Cricetulus griseus: one gene and its partners. The protein of the gene in region 3 purifies or fractionates together with the protein of the main gene of each other region. This does not show direct contact. Links are inferred from orthologs where the notes say so. Each region holds a gene or a part of one and is shown on either strand. Other genes may lie near its edges.

Region 1 (3,723 bases), on a different chromosome or scaffold from region 3:
TGGGGAGCCCTGCTGCCTAAGCCCATGTACCAATCACTTCAGTCAGTGCACAGTGGGTTCCTTAAATGGTGACTGTAGTGAAGGGCATTCAGCAGTCTTAGGAAAAGGCTGTCAGTAACTCAAACCAAACGAAACACACAACACAACAGGCCACAAGACTTAGTGACTTATTTTATAATGTTGTATGACGACACATAGACGAAGTCTGTACGGAAGTGCTAGTAGTGATTTTGGTTGTGTGGTGATGTGTTAATGTTTCCCATGTCCATGTGTGACCACACTTCATAGCAAACATTCTGCATGGCTGAATGCAGGTAGAGCGTTTGCTTAGCATGCGTGAGGCCCTACGTCCAATTCCCAGCACTGCCAAAGCAATCAAACAAAACAAAGCTGCTGTAAGTTCTGGGCACAGTGGTCGGCCCTTTACATATCCTTCTGTAACCACCTCCCTCTTGAAAAGCAAGGGGGCGGGGCTCAGGGAAGCAATTCTCTAATGTTGTAAGACTACAGAGCTGGTGTTGAGACCAAGGTTCCCTCTGGATCTGAACAGCTGTGCCTGGCACCAGGCGCTGCTCAAGGGGTGACTCCCAAGCAGCTCCGCCTGCTCGTCGGCTCCTGTGAACACTGCTGCAAGGGCTGTACTGAGCACACCTCACAGGCGCGATGCCTACCATAGACGCGGCCAGTCAGGAGCTATATAGGGCGGGGCATTTGCTTCAACAGATCTGCCCACTGTGTTTTGTCTTGAAATTATGCCAAGGGCTTGTGTTTCTTCTTAGTTCAAGATGATTTTCTTTTTCAGAACCTGAGATTGAAACAGACCCACAGACAGACAGACAGACAGTCTCTCTCTCTCTCTCTCTCTCTCTCTCTCTCTCTCTCTCTCCTCTCTCTCTCTCTCTCTCTCTCTCTCTCTCTCCTCTCTCTCTCTCTCTCTCTCTCCATGTCTTAAAGATGCTTTGGTCCTTGCAGGCAGACATCTGGTCCCTCGGCATCACAGCGATAGAACTGGCCAAAGGAGAGCCTCCACATTCCGAGCTGCACCCCATGAAGGTGTTATTCCTCATCCCAAAGAACAACCCTCCCACACTGGAAGGAAACTACAGCAAGCCCCTCAAGGAGTTTGTGGAGGCCTGTTTGAATAAGGAGCCCAGCTTTGTGAGTGTACCCCGTCTCTGTGGTCTCAGCTGGTTTGAATTTGTTCTTTTGGGGTTGTCCCAGTCACTGTTAGCCACTGTCTCCATGAGCTCATACATCTTTGCAAATGAGTTTGATTTCTTGGAATTACAGAGACTTTTGTTGTTGCCATTTTACCTTTTAGGGATTTAAGATGTAATTATTTTGTTTAGAGTTTTCTAATGTCTTACACCTCATTGAACCTGGAGAATATTCTCTGTAGAACTGGAGTAGGGTCGGCAAGTTTTTAGTGCTCAGAGAGAAACAGGCTGTAAACTGGAAAACTACTTTGGTAATGGCAGAGGCTGGCCTGAAGATAATGGCAGTAAATATTGTTTCCAGTTGTCGTGTGCTGTGAGGCAGACAAATCAGACACATGGGACCTGCCCATCTCTGCCTCCTCTCCCTGGCCCTCTGAGTTTATTCAGCGGTGGCAGAGCCCACGCACCAGCCACATTGAGCTTTGCCTCCTTTTCCTGATAACTGGGGCTTTCCTTTGAAAGCAGCATGTAATTTGTGTCACGTGTAGCATCCTGTGTCCACGTTTTGGGTTTCTTTGAGCAGAGTTAGCTGGCAGCAATGCTTCATTGAACCCTAAGAATATCCATGAGGGGTCCCCTTGGCCTCTTGTCTGAAAATGGTGAGAAAAGCTGAGTTTTCCAAGAGTAGTTCCCCCGTCGGTACCAGCTCAGGCAATGGAATTGATCATATCGTGGCTGCAGATTGAGGTCAGCCTATCTGTCAGCATTTGGTCACTGGGGTGGGTGTGGTCTTGCATGAAGTCCACTTGTTTGATTGCTCAAGGCACAGGGTAGCATCCACAGTATGTTAGCATCCGGGAAGAGACCAAGTGTGTACACATCTTCTAAAGCATGTCAGTGCTCATTTATTACTAGGGTACACCCCTCCATCTTGGCTTGTCCCTGGACCTTCAGACAAGAAGGTCTGCAAAGCTGAGAATAGGAGCACTTGGGACGATGGAGAAGGGGAGGCCACTGGGGTTCTCAGAAATCATGGCTAGAGGAACATGCTGTTCTTACAAGAGGAAAACGTTGATTATCTGGAGCAGGTGGGACTATGGTGTGCCTGGCTGGCACCTCTGTGCTTTTGCTGTCTGTCCCTGGTTGGGCCACTCTGTGTTGAGGGAGCTTTGTGCCAGTAGATGGGAAACCACTGGCTAACCTCTGGGTGTGCCATTCAGTTGGAGTTGTGCCACGTCCAGGTGGTGATAGAGTTGTCGGCCCTTGACACTGGGGTAGGGATAGGTTCACACACTGACTTTTCTAGTTGGGAATGCTGGTGACCGACCAGTTGTGTATCTCCTGACTCCTGCCCCAACCTGTTCTAGATGAGTCTAATTACTGAGTTGGTTTTAATTTGTGGTATTAGCCTAACACTGTAGGAAGTCATGAAGAGCATGTATTTCCCTTAGTCAGCACTTGTCATGAGGTGCCATGTAAAATAGGAGCTACTCTCTCAGGCAGTGCCATGGAAACCAGGAGAAGCTCTCTCGGGCAGTACTCACAAAGCTCTCCCTCTGTGGAGTTACTGTAGAAGGGCTCTTGCTTCAACCTAATGGTTCTGATAGAATGTTTTTGTCCATGTTGGGAACTGTCACATTTACCTTGTGCCTGTAGTCTTGGGCATAGGTGTGGAGTGACTGATCTGGTGTTTTAGCCCAGTGGTCTGGCTGCCCGGGTGGAATAGAGTAGGATGAAGAAGACACTTCTCACGATTATTTGGACGCTTGTGTTTTCCAGAGACCCACCGCCAAGGAATTACTGAGGCACAAGTTCATAATCCGCAATGCAAAGAAAACGTCCTACCTGACCGAGCTCATCGACAGGTACAAGAGGTGGAAGGCGGAGCAGAGCCGTGACGACTCCAGCTCGGAGGACTCGGATGTGTAAGCGGCCCCGCCCCACAGGCTGGAGCTACCAGTCCTTCCTGATGGACTGTGTGTGCATGCGAGTGTCTGTGCTTTGGGCTGTGTCCCTTCCTTTTGGACTTACGCTGAGTTTTGTGTTGTACACGTGCCTTGTTTGAGGTTCTTTGTCCCCGCACTGCCATGGGGTTTGAGTGAGTTCTGCATAATTAGAAGCATAGGCAGAGTTGTGGCAATAGCTTCCTTCTCTTCATTACCCCTGACGATACCCCCCTCTAAAGGTACTGACAGACAGTCCTCGTATGCAGTGCTGAAGAGAAAAGAAAGAATGCTTTGGCGACTGGTCGGTGTTGCTCTGTGTGGGGCAGTTACTCACTGAAAGCGGGTTCCCCTAAGCACCACGTTGTGCCGACTGGCGTGTGAAGTGACTGGCACCCTCCAAACAGGAGCTAGAGGGAGGGTGGCCTGGCTGTCTTGTAAGAGTGAAAGGAGGCACCTGGAGGCCCCATAGCCATTAGCTAGCATCGTGTCTCCATGCCAGGACAGCTGACTGCAAGCCTCTGCGACCCACCCATGTCTGAAGATCCTGGTTACTGTTTATAACCAAGGTTGAGACCACTGACTGGATGGTTAGCTCAACAGCGAAGGCTGAAGAGAGTGGA
Region 2 (4,151 bases), on a different chromosome or scaffold from region 3:
AAATGAATCTCCAATCCACAGAGTTTTGAGTCCTACTAGAAACATAAGTTATGCAATGTTCCAGACATTTTCTAACTTGAAAAAAAGTTTCTTTGGTTGGTTTAGCATATTTAAAAGATCACATAAAACCAGTGGCAGTGTTTTTAGCCTCTGATCTATTCTTCATAAAGGAGTTGTTTATGCTACCAGGTGGTGGGGGTCAAATGTAAATGGTTTAAAATGTTATAGTGGGTTTAAAAAAAAACAAGATGTGTAAAAAGTCTGTTGACATAGATTTTTCCCTAATAAATGATACCATAATGGGGCAGAACTGCATAGACATCGAATAGGAACTTGGATCCCACTCAGTAGTCCTTTGGACTGGACAAATGCTTAATACACCTTATGAGAGAGATGAAGAGATGGGCCTGGGAAGTCATCCCTTAGGTACTCAGAATGGGACCCTGCATTCTTTCCAGCACTTTCCCCTGTACAGGTGGGGGAGCGAGATACAAGTTTGCTTTAAGTAGCACTGAAAGGGAAAAGAAGTCATCTCACTCTTCTCTCTTTGCACACAGGAAGAGCCCAATTCAATGCCACCACCACTCCTGGTGTCGCTCCGCCCCAACTTCTGTGTGTGTGCCGTGTGGGGGGCACCGCTTGGGTGTTTTAGCCCACACATCCCAAGATCCCTTCATCTCATCTAGGTTAAGTTCTGGAACAACACCGCCACCCCCCCCCCCCCAGTCCTCAACCATGGCATGATCAATAAGCCAACAAGTACAGGTGCCTAAGGTTCTGGCCTATTTTTATATGTGCACCCCTCCCCGCCAACCCCAACCCCCATTTACTGTCGCGCCCCAGTCGCCCCAATCTCTCCCGCGCAAAGCACCTTCTTAGCCCAGACACCAGGAAACACCTCGAGCTTTACTTCGGGGTCACCTGGAGAGAGATCTGGCCCTACCTTCAGGTTTGCCCGGTGGCTGCCCCTGGTCTCTGGTGCCCAGAGCGGGGCTCTGGAGCAGTCACGTGGGTGGCAGAGGAGGCCTGGGCTTTCTCACCTGCATCCCGGGCACTTGGACAGCCACCGGTGAGTGGGCCATGGAGGCGATTGCTACTTCGCGCTGCTTCTGCGGTGGTGGCGCCTTCGGCTCAGACTGGCTCCTCCTACAGGGGTAGCTCGGTTGCTCTCCCAGGCTTCTCGATCCGGGCCTGGAAGGACGCAGAGAAGTGGAGTTAGTGGGCTGGAGGCTTGCAGCCTCCACTCCTCCAACCCCCTTGCTGGGAGGTGAGAGGTTCGCGGCACTGCTCCCCGGGACTCAGTTTACCTCTCAGACACCCGCCTGCCGAGGTCGTGGCCAACTGGGTTGCTGCTCCTCTTCCTGAATGCAGGGCTGTTCGTGCGGCAGTGGCTGGGACCTGGGCTCCAGTGATGCCGCTCGGCTGCGCCTCGCCGCTTTAGGAAGAGGAGGTGGAGGCGCCCCAGCAACCCGCCCGATCGCTTAGCCTGGGAGGAGGTTGGGGGCGGTTCCGCACTTGGCCCTGCCTCCACCCCGCTGCCGGGCGGTGTCTGGGGAGCTGAAGCTTCAGGCTGCAAAAGGGTTTGGCTAAAGTAGCTGGAGTCAGAGAAGCAGGAGACTCTCCGGATTTGTAAAAAGCAGCAGAAGCCTGGGATCAAGAAACTTGGAATACAACTGGGCCTGGAGAAAAATAGAAGAGTGTGCGAGAGCTGGAGTCGCGTGGGGGATATGAGGGCGACCCGGATGAACCCGGCCACGTTGCAGACAGGCTGGGGAGGCTGTGTACCTCACAGAGGCGTGTAGCCTCACAGAGGTCTGTAGTTGAAAAAGTTTTGCTTGGCTCCCCCACCTGGCCGAGGGTGGGGCCTCCGAGCCAGACACCTGCTCCTTCAGCGCCTTAGGCTCCTGTCCTCTTGCTTTTCAACTTTCTTACCCCTAGATATGCCTCAAGTCACTTTATCATGAACCTGTCCCTACCTTAGGCTATCAGTTAAGGAATGGAGTGGCTGAAACTTCTCACAATTTCTGCGTGTTTAAAAGAGCGGCAAATTGGAACGGATCGCCCATTGGCAAAAAAATTAAGGAGGATAACAGGGGCAAGGAGCATGAGATTAGATCTTTGGCAGCACAGATAGTTATACTTAGCATACATAGCCATGACTTCTGCAACCCTTTGCCCTTTTCCAATTTAAACTCAACTCCAGGAACAAGGCAAGCCCTTTTGGGGGGACCCAATAACAACAGTGACAGTGATAATAATAGCAGTCACAGGAATCTCAAGGAAGCACCTTTGTGTACACAGAAAGGGCTAATGCTAATAATAGGCAAGAGCCAGTCTAACATGAGAACACACCTTTGCAGTTTGTTCCGAACCTATGCACCCAACACACTGTGGGGGAAGCTCCAAGTAGACACTCAGCAATTGCTATTCTCAATTAATTATAAAGGAAGAATAGCATTTGTTGAGTGTCTGTTTTCTCCAAGAGAAGAATCTGGTTCTTATCAACATGGTTATTACTAATATTTTATTTTCTTTGGGCCAGACAGCCCTAAATTCAGGCTTTGTGTTTTGTAGTGAGTTACTGTGACAAGAGCTCACCTGGGTCACACTGCTTTCTCCCCATTGAGCAAACAGAGCAAAAGGCTCAGCCAAGTAAACATTTGACTCAAATACTGCAATTAAAAAGTGATACATCAGAGAATTCCAATCTAGGTACCTCCTGACTACTTAACTACCTTCTATATGGTTTCTGTTTACTTGGAACGTTATTAAAGGACAACATTGCGTCTTCCTTAGTCATAGTGCTTCAAGTCTAAGTGTTCTCTATTTCTACCAAATCTAGTGTCTATTTCCCACTAGCCCAGCACACACTTTATACTAGCCTACTCAGAAGCATGCAATGCCACTTAAACTTTAATGCCCATAAAGATCTCAAAGGGGTTTGCTTGTTTATTTGTTTGTCTGTTTTTGAAGACATGGTCCCACAATATTTGTTTGTCTAGCTTTGGAGACAAGGTCCCTGCCTAGACTGGAACTCCCTACATAGACCAGGCTGGCCTCAACCTCACAGAGATCCACCTACCTCTGCCTCCTGAGTGTTGGGACTGAAGGCGTGTGCCACTGTGCTGGGTTCAGAGGATCCTTTCAAAGTGAAGATTTTGAACCTGCAAGTCTGGAGTTAGCCCAAGAATTTGCACTGTTAACAAGGTCTGAGACGATGAGATGAGACCAACAGTGATTCTTAGTAATGTGAATCAGGCTCCATCATTAAAGACCCACCTCAGGTAGGTCCATTGAACTTTCTTAGACCCACCATCCAATTTTCATAGTTGCTCTGTGCTCACATTCAGAATCCTACCATGTGTACATGGAAGCAATGCTTACACTGTTGATCCTTCTTTGTATTTCTGACATTGCATGCCTTTTATTTGACCACCAACCTTACTATGTGCTTGAGGCCAGAGATACAGCTTCTCTTCTGTGAAAGTTATTCAAGAAGAATGGTAACTCTCTGACAGTGATCTTGCTTGTTGTTGTTTACTGCAGTATTCCCAGAGCCCTGCAATGTTCTGTGGCACCAAGTAGGTCCTCAATATATATTTGTTAATTGAGCAAATGCATTTCCTTAGAATTCTTTTCTGATGTTGGTATGTGTATTCTGAGGAATATATATATATTAAAGGCGTGCACCACCACTGCCTGGCGGAACAGTATATTTATTATCAGGCTAAACTCATAGACACTGCTCTTGGTTAACCTTGAAGTTTTGATCACTTTTTATATGTTTTTATATATATTTATATATTTTTAATATATTTTTATATACCATTCAATTTTGGCCTAATGTGTTGTTTCCAGCTACTTAAATTTTACAACTACCTAAGAGAATGTTTTATAGTTCTAGTAAACAAGTGAACTCTAATCATAACAGAGAAATACCTTTCCTGACATCATGCAAGTCTAGAATGATGCAGTAATATTGAAGAATTAACACTAAACTTTGACATCTAGTCTACTGAGACAGTTTCTGAATGGCACCGATGAGCACCTTTATTTCAGGTATGTTCATCTTGAATAAACCATTCGTTATTGCTACTATTGATAAAGATCATTTGGGGATTTATTTGGGGTTCCTTATGGATTTGCTTATG
Region 3 (3,723 bases):
GAAAATTCCTTGGTATACTGTTTCAAGTGTAAAATGTTAAGTAGCATTAAATTTTTGAAACCTAGTAATTTGCCTGTTTGTTTGTCTGGTTTCTTGAGACAGGATCTCATGTAGCCCAGGCTGGCCTCAGCTCTCACTGTATCACCAAGGATAACCTTTACTATGCATGTGGGAAGGTTTTGTTACCATGCCCAACAAAGTACCTGTCTGCTCTTGGGTCTGTAACCCAAGCAGGGCATTAAAATTGTCAGAATCAGTTGGTACTTACAGGTCTATAATTAGAGAAAGCTGATAGTCCTGTCTGAATTTGCTGAAGATTCTCAGTGTCTACCCTTCACTGTCTGTGGCTATTAACTAACCCCTTCACCACTGGGAAAGATTAGGATTTGAACAACAGGTGATGCTGTCACACTGCTTGTAATGGAAGGAGAGTTCCTCAGTCACATCTCCTTGCCCAGCCCCCAGCATGCAAAGGTAGCTTTATCTTTGTTGTTTTGAAACAAGGATTTGTGGATTCGTGGAGCTCCCGTTAGGCTTGAACTCACTACGTAGGTGAAGATGACCTTTCAACTGTACCTCCCCAAGCACTGAGATGACAGATGTGTCTTCCCATACCCAGTTTAAGGAAGAGTCTTTATCTCATCTTCTGAAAATTCACTCTGAACCAGCCTCCCACAAGCACCTGCTACTTCCAGGTTCCGGCTCTTTGGGATCCTGAGGGTAAAATGGCTTCCTCTGCCTTACTGATGACTACCTCTCCTCAAACTATTTTCCCACTTCAGAATGTTATTAAAGCTGCCTATCTGGGCCTGGAGAGTGGCTGAGCAGTGAAGAACTCCCAAAGGGCCCAGGTTCAGTTACTATCACACCCACATCAGACAGCTTACAAGCACCTGTAACTGCAGCTCCATAGACTCCGATGCCTCCATGGGCAACCACACTCACGTAGTGCACACACTCTCTCACACATAAATAAATAAATCTTATAAAAAAATCTTTCTCCCCTACTAAAGCCTCTCCTGTCTCTGAGACTTTGTAGTTTCTTTCATTCCTTTCTGTAATTTTAAAGGGCTCTCAAGAGAGGATAGGTAAAACATGGCTACATGAGGTAGCTGACAGTGCTGTGCCCTGGAGGTCTGGGCTGAGCCACCTCTGAAAAAAAAGCTACTGAGTAATAAATACATCCCCATCTAGGATATTGTGTGGTTTGAGCAAAATTACATGGTTAGTGTCCTCTTCTGCTTGTTTTTTCCTTGAAACTGGTGTGGATCCTTGAGCACCAGGATAAAATTCCAAATCATTAAGAGTTTTGTGAAAAAAATCACCACTTAGGATCCCAATAATTGAGCCTTCTGCACGTAGGATGAAGTAGGAGTCTTCCCTGTTTTATCTGGGTATACCAAAATAGATATTATTGCTGGCCGTTGGTAGCACAAGCCTTTAATCCTAACATTCAGGAGGCAGAGGCAGGTGGATCTCTGTGAGTTTGAAGGCAGCCTGGTCTACAGAGTGAGTTCCAGGACAGGCTCCAAAAGCCACAGAGAAACCCTGTCTTTAAAAACCAAAAGAAAGGGGGCTGGAGAGATGGCTCAGAAGTTGAGAGCACCGACTGCTCTTCCAGAGGTCATGAGTTCAATTCCCAGCAACCACATGGTGGCTCACAACCATCTATTATGAGATCTGGTGCCCTCTTCTGGTGTGCAGATATACATGGAAGCAGAATGTTGTACACATAATAAATAAATAAATAAATAAATAAATAAATAAATAAATAAATAAATAAAATCTTTTAAAAAAAACAACTGAAAGAAAGGAAGGAAGGAAGAGAAAGAAATAGGTATTATTAGTTTAGTAAGGAACAGGACAACCCACTTGAGATGTTTAATTTCAATGGTAGTATTGAGAAGAACACCTCAGCCTTGTACACACACACACACACACACACACACACACACCAAAGTAGGTCTCTAGTCGCACCAAACTGCATATGATTCCCCAGACTTCTGCTAGTTCTCAAATCTTCTCAACCCCCACAGCTAATCAGTTACTCTCTTGTCTCTGCATTCTTCTGCACATACTTCAGCAAAGTAAATATCTTGTTTGCTAGCACATAGCTTGCATGTCTTTCACCCTGCTAGACAGCATGCTCCTTGACGGCCCTGGCTGGATTTCATTTATTTATTTAATCTGGAACCCTCAAGTGTTGAGTGGTATAAATGTGATTACTTGGTATTTGAAAGTGAATGTTTTAAAATCCTTTACAGGTGATCCTTGACCTTGAAGAAGAAAGACAGAGGCATGCGCAGGACACCGCTGAAGGAGATGATGTCACCTACATGCTGGAGAAAGAGAGGGAGAGACTGACACAGCAGGTAACTCAAGCAGAAAGATCATGATGGCACTTGCCTAAAGTGACATTTCTTAGGGTCATTGTCAGTGTACCAAGTTACATTATAAGTCTTCAAAAAGAAGATAGAATGTTCCATGTATATCATGTCTTATTTCCAATGTCGTCTTTTTTTAAACATAGATTACTTGGGGGTTGGAGAGATGGCTTAGTGGTTAAGAACACACAGTTTGGTTCCCCGACATCCATATCAGATGGCTGACAACTCCCTGTAACTCCATCTCTAGGGGATCTGATGCCCTCCTCTCATCTGCAATGACAGGGGCACTCACATACACTTAGCTCCCTAGATGCACCCACAAGTACATACAATTTTAAAGATAAAACAAACAGATCATTCAGTGGAACTGTCATTTATAGCACATTCTTTAGAGGTCTCTGATTTTCAGGATTTTTTGTTGTTTCACAATCTACAGTAACAATGTGGCCTATCGCAAACCAATATGTCCAAAGCAAAGATTACAGGACACGCAACAACCCTTTATTCCTATAGTACACAGTGGTATTTTCAGTCTTTTAGATCAGGCTAGCTTTGAACTCACACTTTTTTTTTTTTTTTAAAGTATGATCATGGCTAACCAAATTGATTTCCCCATCCATTAATGTATCTCATTTTGAAAATCCCTGCTTAGAAGGGTTCAGTTCACCCTGTTTCCTCTCATTCAGAGTCTGGAGTCTGTGTGATTATGTTAGACAGTTAGACAAACTACATTTATGTAGATCCAAGGATGGTGGTGCAAGCCTCTAATCCTAGCAGTTGGAAGGAGGATTTCAAGTTCAAAGCAAGTCTCAGAGTAAGACCTTGTCTAATGAAAACAGCAACAAAAGGAAGATTTAAGTGCAGCTACTTAAGTTTTTTTTTTTTTTTTTTTTTTTTTTTTTTTTTAGATCAGAGAAAATGATTGCTGGAACTTTTAAGTTTGATTTTCAGCGGCATCCATCCCCAGATCTAGCTTACATAGTGTTCTGTTATTTGTTTTGGCTGATTCTATGTTCTCTCCACATACCTAAAACACAATGGTGCATCATATTCCCGCTGTTCACCCTGAGGCAGTTAGGAACTCAAATGCCTCCCAAGTCATCAAGAAATGATTAAATCATAGTATGTGGGGGTTCTGTGTGGGATGTTTTCATACTTCAAAAATACTAATTAACCTAAGCACCGTGGCGTTCCTGCTAATACCGAGTGTGCACCAGAGAGCAGCTAGCGAGGGCACTCTACATGATCATAATTTTCAGTGCATCCTTTTGTTTTCCTACTCTAATCAAGATGTGTGGTGGCTTCTTTTTTTCTAGTTGGAATTTGAAAAGTCCCA

What was found.
Region 1: the proteins of Cttnbp2nl (region 3) and Stk24 purify together in Homo sapiens (affinity purification with mass spectrometry; 3 studies listed by BioGRID and IntAct, with this or other methods). This does not show direct contact. The link is inferred for Cricetulus griseus from reciprocal best matches to the Homo sapiens genes CTTNBP2NL and STK24.
Region 2: the proteins of Cttnbp2nl (region 3) and Stk26 purify together in Homo sapiens (affinity purification with mass spectrometry; 4 studies listed by BioGRID and IntAct, with this or other methods). This does not show direct contact. The link is inferred for Cricetulus griseus from reciprocal best matches to the Homo sapiens genes CTTNBP2NL and STK26.

The regions. Positions count from the first base shown.
Region 1 is NW_023276807.1:271,171,439-271,175,161, reverse strand, and holds part of Stk24 (serine/threonine-protein kinase 24), read left to right. Parts: intron 1-972; coding exon 973-1,158; intron 1,159-2,936; coding exon 2,937-3,082; intron 3,083-3,723. UniProt on the Homo sapiens protein: Serine/threonine-protein kinase that acts on both serine and threonine residues and promotes apoptosis in response to stress stimuli and caspase activation.
Region 2 is NC_048604.1:19,104,084-19,108,234, forward strand, and holds the start of Stk26 (serine/threonine-protein kinase 26), read right to left. Parts: upstream 2,801-4,151; coding exon 2,758-2,800; intron 2,673-2,757; coding exon 2,599-2,672; intron 1,778-2,598; coding exon 1,308-1,777; intron 1,192-1,307; coding exon 1,041-1,191; intron 1-1,040. UniProt on the Homo sapiens protein: Serine/threonine-protein kinase that acts as a mediator of cell growth. Modulates apoptosis. In association with STK24 negatively regulates Golgi reorientation in polarized cell migration upon RHO activation.
Region 3 is NW_023276806.1:51,977,941-51,981,663, forward strand, and holds part of Cttnbp2nl (CTTNBP2 N-terminal-like protein), read left to right. Parts: intron 1-2,264; coding exon 2,265-2,372; intron 2,373-3,703; coding exon 3,704-3,723. UniProt on the Homo sapiens protein: Regulates lamellipodial actin dynamics in a CTTN-dependent manner. Associates with core striatin-interacting phosphatase and kinase (STRIPAK) complex to form CTTNBP2NL-STRIPAK complexes.